Xenopus tropicalis: one gene and its partner. The protein of the gene in region 1 interacts with the protein of each later gene in a pairwise test. Links are inferred from orthologs where the notes say so. Each region holds a gene or a part of one and is shown on either strand. Other genes may lie near its edges. The genes, in order: aagab and ap2s1.

Region 1 (4,006 bases):
TTCAGCTCATTGGCTGCTGTGAATCACCCCCCAGAGACCAGCGGCGAGCTGCAGGGTGATGTGAGTGGTATCCTGTGTCTGTCTGTCTGTCAGATCACCATAGAGGACTTGCACAAAACTGACATGCATTAGCTCTTTGACCCGCACTTTTCAGTCCGTCCCATCTCTTCTTCCTGGGCCATTATTCTTATTTTATTTATATTTGTGTCCGAACTCACCTCAACACCCACCCACTTGGATACGGCAATGACTAAAGCACACAAAGGAAGAAACACAGCCTTATATTGCGCAGGCAGATGAGAATGAGGCCATCATAGAAAGGAAAGTGAGCATAAACAGAACTCGCTACGTTTGTCCTTCTAAAACAGGGGTCACCAACCCATTTGACCAATGAGCCACATTCAAATGTAAAAAGAGTTTGGGGGCAACACAAGCAAAGGGATGTGATTGGTTATTTGGTAGTCCCTATGGGAACTGGCAGCCTACAGGCGACTCTATTTGTCAGTACACATGTTTTTTATGCAATAAAATCTTGCCTCCAAGCCAGGAATTCAAAAATAAGCATCTGTTTTAAGGCCACTGGGAGCAACATCCAAGGGGTTGGTGAGTAACATGTTGCTCTCGAGCCACTGGTTGGGGATCACAGTTCTATAATATAGTGAAACTGAATTTTATATCCCAGCATTATCTTCTAACACTAAATAGGTGGCTAACTATCGTATACCATTCATAATGCCCACAGCCCCAATTAATGCAGAAGCCACTTAAAATGCAGCTCTTTTTAAAAGCCTTTTAAAGGAGGCACTAAATACACTGGATAGTATGTGAGTTCTAGCCCAGTGACCAAAGTACCCTGAATTATGTTGGATAGAGTTTGTAGGCTCCTACCTTGGAGCTCTGTGACCCTAAAAGCTTGTGCTTCTCTGAGCACCTTTTTAGAGACTTTTAGCAGGTCAGTGACTGACACTAACTGTCAATGGACTTGCTTAACTAGTTAACCCTAGGGTGTGGATTCTTAGTTGAGGCAAAAGACTTTACACAAACTAATTTCCATGCTGCTGTCACCTGGCAATGGCTAACATGAGTGCTATGTTTGATGCACAACCTTAAATGAGAACTAAAGCCTAACTAAAGAAGTAGGGGATGGATATATATATATATATATATATATATATATATATATATATATATATATATATATATATATATATAATATAATATAATGTGTGTAGTGGGCAAATGAGTTTGCTGATGGAATAAAGGCTTTTTTTTAAAAAAAATTATGTATTACACCTATATGGCATGTATTGTGGCACGTGGCCACTTAGGAAATGATGCCCCCAGTGGCTTCTTATCTGCCGATTTACTGCACATGTGCTGCTGTCACTTACTGACATTATGGACGCACAATATACAGAATTTTAATGTCACAATATAAGGCTGATTAGTAAAAACACAGAATTTTATTAATCTCTTTCACCCCTTAAACATTCAGCTACTGGTTAGAATACAAATAAGCTTTTTCCACTACTCACCATTCCTTACCTTCTCTCCCCACTCATAACTGCTACAATACTGCCAGTGCATTGCAGCAAACTTTGACAGGCACATGTACTCATGGGTAGCACTTCCTGCTCCCCCGTCTTACTCTCCACAATATAAATTACAGCATCCTGACCTATAAGTGATCAGTGTAATGAAATATAGTTGCCTTGCTGAGTATCACATCTGCTTTGCATCTGCTCAGAATACCAGATTCAGACTAACACCCAGTTATTCCCAGCAGGCGCCTGCAGCCAGTGAGGGAACTTTGGAGCAGTGCAGAGGAGAGGACTCTGGAAACCCCCGGGATTCGCAAGTTGATACCATAGTTGGTAGGTACACTTGATGCATGGTGCATGCTCAGCATTTTTCTGTAACTACTAGGTCCTCTCTGGAAAAGTGCTGCCCTTCTATAGGCTTACAGCCTGCAGCATCTGTTTGTACAGGGTCAGGTCTGAACTTGGAGTTAGAATAGGCCCTGGCATTCCAAGTGCACATAGGCCCAAAGAGACCCAGTATATACTGTCTGTCTATGGCTTCTTACAGCCCTTCTGGCATTTGCCAGAATCCACAGATTGCCAGTCTGGGCCAGTTTAGGGTAAAAACAGCAGGACTAGGTCACTACATATTTTTCATATGTGTATAGTGTGGATATCATGCTGCATAATAACTTCTGCCCCTCCACTAGATCCAATGCTGGACCTGGACATCAGAGAGCTTGCCAGTCTTACCTCGGGGGAGGGGGACATAGAAAACTTCAGCCGGCTTTTTACCAAATTGCAGGAGATGAAAGGTAACATACTATTAATCTTTCTACTTGCAGTAGAAGGCCGTATATTCAAAGTGACTGTTCCTTGGTTAGTGTAAGAGCCATTTTTCTACACATGGTTTGCATTTAGCAAATAAGATAACTGAGAAAACGACCAATCAGAAGACTTTAAATCCAGGTACAACTCGTACATGATCCGACACACCATGTTAGCTTTACAAAGCTTATGACTGTATGGCAAGGGGGTTGTTAACCTGCTTGTGACGTTCATTTGCTTTTCCTGTAGATAAAGCTGCCACTTTACCTCATGAACAGAGAAAACTGCACGCAGAAAAGGTAATAGCCGTGTGTATTTCATTGGCTCAGTAGATTGGGACGGTGAATGAAGAACAGGGGTTGTGCCTGTTGTGTGCCAGTGTGTTGGGCAAGGTATGCTTACAGGTTCTTTTGCCCCTTTTTTTAGGTTGCCAAAGCTTTCTGGATGGCGATTGGAGGAGACCAGGATGAGATTGAAGGTCTGTCATCTGAGGAAGAGAGCTAAGAGCCATGAGCCCCTGCTGTTTCCAATGAGAGTGGAGCATTAGGACCTGACTTGCTCACGTTTCCATCCTCCCTTCTACCTGCCGTGCTGGTCGGCCTCCATGATGTTTCCACTTAGTAGTTACTTGTCGGTGATTGTTTGCTTGTATATTTATTAGAGGATGACAAATCTAAATAAAATATTTTATATTCATTAAAACTACAGGTTTTGATATTTACAAGAGGCACATGCATTTTAATCCCAAAGAATCACTACGGACGCATACCTCTACAAAACAAGTCTTTTTTGACACTTTGTTGCTTAAAAGGGATGTAAACCCAAAATTATAATGTTGCTTAATAAAAGAAAATGTGATTCTAAGCAAATTTGCAATTGATTGAAAGCAGTGTCTCTCTGTCTGTCTGTCTGTCTTTCTATTTCTTGCACTGGTGGCACTGACACTTGAAACTCTGTAGCAGAAGCCAGATTATTAACTGATCTGGGAAGAAACGTGCAACACTGTCTCCTGCTACATGTTTTTTTTTAATAGAAGTTTTCAATCATTTTAATATAAGGTAATGCTACATTGTTTCAAGAGACAGAGACAGCAGTGCAGAAAGGGATTAACAAATACTGTACAGCTCTCAATAGCGAAATACATACATACTAATACCAAATGGTATTTTCTTTCATTAGGGATGAATGTATTTGTTGGCAGGGTGGTTTATGGCTCCATGGTGGAGGACAAAATGGGAATTGCCCGGTGCAGTCAAGTGACAGGCACACAGCACTCAAAAATGCAGCACTGAGCAGTACCAAGTGATAAGCGCCTGTTACTTGCCTGCATTGTATTAAAGGACAGGGAAAGTCTAAATCAGGGGTGCTAGTTTGATTATGATTGCTACCCTTGGACCCCCTATGCCAGTGTTTCTCATCAGCCCCGGGTATAGTCCTGCAGGAGTCACACCCCCATCTCCTGGGAGATTCCAGCAGTTACTTGTGGTGTCCGGGACTGTAACCCCCTTGCTGTTTATACATTATACTGGGCATGCGTTTGGTCCTGAACAGCCACAAGGGCTATTTCAGTTCCGAGCAGGTCTTGCCTAAGAACCCAAATAGGCCCTGGCATTTCCAGTACACAGAGGCCCAAACAGCCCCCCCCCCCCATCAGCCCA
Region 2 (3,503 bases), on another chromosome or scaffold:
TTATGAAATGGAAACTACTCCGCTTCACTGAAAGAAATCTCTTTTAGTTAGTAATAGCTTCTTATCAGTATCTGCACTTTAATTTTCAAACACAAAAACTGTCCAAAGATATCAGCTTCTAACAAATTGGTTTTATTAATATTAGTGGTTGTTTATTTCAGTGGTCAATGGACAAAAAAAAATGCACAGCTGAGCCACAAAAAGTGTCATGCTGCCTTCACCAGCTGTATGCACCCCACAATAACTATTAGCAGAACTCCATTATGTGCTGCTTCTGTGAAGATTTCAATCCATACTGGCAAGTACAACTTTAAGGGGAGTATGGGATTTGCACCATGGATTGTTCTACTTTGCACAGGATCTTGGTATACACCAGGTTAACTTGTGTTTTGTTGAGATTCCACTGAGTTCTGTAAATCATTAGCACTAGGTGTGTTAGCACATTTAGGCAGCACACAACCCATATGTTACTGGGGAAGCACCATTACATTTCCCGGTGCTGCACATTCTGACTGTGCTGGTGCATGACACCAGTGGAGGGGGGGGCACATGAAATGTTACCAAATCAGGAGAATGTAAACTTAACTGCACAGAGCTGCTGTTAATTTACAGTACACACAAGGTGTTTAAGTTCCTCCTTAACAAAGTACTTTAACTATATTCTCTCCCTTCACTTGGGGCCAGTTTATCTGCAACCAGCTCACTACAGCACATCATCCCTTCTCCAATTCTCTCCCACAGCATCATTATACACAGAATATTTTATTGTTTTCACATTAAAAGTTAAAAAACTTCATTTGTTTGAGAAGAGAAAACAAAAGAGACAGGGGCAGGTAGGATATAGAGTTATGGATTAGAGGCAGTAATGGGTCACATAATAATGAATAAATTGAAACAGAATACAGAGGTAATTAGTGAGGGCAATGCAAGAAGGTTTAGCTCCTGCTTGGAATGTTATTCAAGACTGAAAGGGGAAGACATATATATATTTATATATACACAAGATGCTGGAGAGTTTAGGTGGATGGCAGCTCAGAAGTCACTCTCACTCCAGGGACTGGAGCATCAGCAGCTGCTTCAAAACTTTTGTCTGACTTGTTTCTCTAATTTCACCAGCCAAAAACATTTCATCCACCACTGTGTACACCTAAAATGAAAAAGCAAAAGTTTAATAGAAAGAAACAAAAGGCATTGGAGAGAGAAGCAACTGATAGGAAAAGGGTGAGATTTACTAATGAATGTGAAAGAGCAGTCTTACCTTGTAGAAATTGAACACCAGATCTAATTCACATACATTATGGAAGTACTCATTTAACACCTAAAGTAAAAAAAAAAAGCAAATTAGACATATATATTAGTGAATATATTTATATTTGTATCATTTATAAAGCACATTGTTTATTTACCCATTTCTAAAAAAGTGTTTTTAAATCAATAATTAAGCAATAATGGCATGAGTAACAGCACTTCATTGGTCTGCCAAAGTGAATACTTGTACAGTTATTGAAAGCATATTTAGATGTTCACACAAGACTGTGTAGACTCTGTTAGGCTTACGCTGGGTCCTCATTAAAAACTGGAGTTGTGAAAACACCCTGCCCCTCATATTAGTAATATCACTATTTGTAGAAACTGTAGACTGGGTTTGAAACTGGAAGGGTCAGGGAGATAAAGGGTGAGAGGGTTATACTGACATAACAATGAATAATTTGGGATTAGAAAAAGCTAATTAGAAAAGGCATACCTCTTTTAGAATAATCTTTTTTAATCTCAAATATTTAATTGTTCTGTCAGTATAACCCTCTCACCCTTGATCTCTCCAACCCTCCAAGTTTCTTTATTTCCATTTCATTTTGTTTTAGCTCACTGTCCATGTTTATACCATCTACTTACCTCTACAAAGTTGTGGATGGCTTCCAGATAAGCCAGGTTATTATCTGTCACGTCCACGCATATACAGAAATACAGCCCAGCATAACGGCGGTATATGATCTTAAAGTTCCTAAACTAAAAAAAAAGGTATGACAGGATGCTTTTTGGATACAGCATAGGAACAGGAAATGGAAGAATTTGCAAGAAGGTTTTGTATAGTTGTTTATGTTAACTATAGCTGAGTTAGTTTAAATGCCATTTATTAAGAGGCAGAGAATCATCCCCTATACTGGCAGCTTTTCCCTGTGTCAGTATGCTTTCCAGAGCCAAAATCCGCTCCATAAGCCTGCACACAGGCACAGGAAAAGGCTGCCAGCGTAGGGCCTGATCCTTGGACTATGTTTATTCGCAGGCCAAGAATCAGCCCCATCTGGTATTAGCCTTACTGAATACTGGGTCCAAAAGGGTGCTTTTGTAAACATAGTATGAAGCCAATCAACATCCCTTCTTTCCTCTCCACCGACGTATTGCTGCTGGGGAAACATACACAGTGCAAAGTTGCCTGTATTGTGTATGTTTGCATGTTAGCCGAGAGGAAAGAAGGGATGTTTTGTTACCAGTTGCAGCCGATATTAATCGTGGGCTACAAAATTCCCCATCTGTCACTGCCCTTGGGCAGTACACAAGATGATTAGTGGCCCGCGATAAATCTCCTCCATTGCGGGCGACTAATCTATGAATGCTTTACAGTACAGGTATAGGACCCATTATCCAGAATGCTTGGGACCAAGGGTATTCCGGATAAGGGGTCTTTCCATAATTTAGATCTCTATACCTTAAGGGCTCTGGCACACGGGGAGATTTCAGCACATTTCGGGTGCTGAAAAACTAGGCTTATACTCGAGTATATACATTAAGTCGCTGGTGGGATGGCACACGCTGCGCAGGTGATTTCGGCAAATCGCGAAGTTGCCTCACGAGGCATTTTTGGCAATTTGCTGAAATCGCCTGCGCAGCGTGTGCCATCCCACCGGCGATTTACATTTTCACCAGTGGGATGCTAGTTTGGGGAGATTAGTCGCCCGCGACAAATCTCCCTTGTCACGGGCGACTAATCTCCCCGAACTAGCATCCCATTAGCACTAATCTCCCCGTGTGCCAGAGCCCTTAGTCTGCTAAAAATCAATAAACCATTAATTAAACCCAATAGGATTGTTTTGAATCCAATAAAGATTATTTATATCTTAGTTGGGATGAATTACAAGGTACTGTTTTATTACTACAGATAAAAAGGAAATCAGTTTTAAAATTCTGAATTATTTGATTAAAATGGAGTCTATGGAGACAGGCTTTCCGTAATTCGGAGCTTTCTGGATAATGGGTTTCCGGATAAGGGATCCCATACCTGTACTAAACTTCATAAAATCGAGTATGTTTTCCTACTGGCAGCTTACTTTAATGCCAGCGTAAAGCAGTCACATGAGATAAGTTGCCCACAGTAGGGAAGATTTATAGCAGGCGACTAGGGCACAGAGTAGACAGTTTTCAGCCAAGAAGGCTGAAACCATATTGGCTTGAAACATTGCTACTCTATACCCTAAAACTGATAAATAAAGGCAAATTATCAACTG

What was found.
Region 2: the proteins of aagab (region 1) and ap2s1 interact in binary tests that used the Homo sapiens proteins (3 or more experiments, as listed by UniProt). The link is inferred for Xenopus tropicalis from reciprocal best matches to the Homo sapiens genes AAGAB and AP2S1.

The regions. Positions count from the first base shown.
Region 1 is NC_030679.2:117,428,737-117,432,742, reverse strand, and holds the end of aagab (alpha- and gamma-adaptin-binding protein p34), read left to right. Parts: coding exon 1-60; intron 61-1,783; coding exon 1,784-1,874; intron 1,875-2,230; coding exon 2,231-2,335; intron 2,336-2,597; coding exon 2,598-2,647; intron 2,648-2,774; coding exon 2,775-2,852; 3' UTR 2,853-3,234; downstream 3,235-4,006. UniProt on the Homo sapiens protein: May be involved in endocytic recycling of growth factor receptors such as EGFR.
Region 2 is NC_030684.2:70,196,666-70,200,168, reverse strand, and holds the end of ap2s1 (AP-2 complex subunit sigma), read right to left. Parts: intron 2,008-3,503; coding exon 1,894-2,007; intron 1,319-1,893; coding exon 1,259-1,318; intron 1,148-1,258; coding exon 1,046-1,147; 3' UTR 747-1,045; downstream 1-746. UniProt on the Homo sapiens protein: Component of the adaptor protein complex 2 (AP-2). Adaptor protein complexes function in protein transport via transport vesicles in different membrane traffic pathways.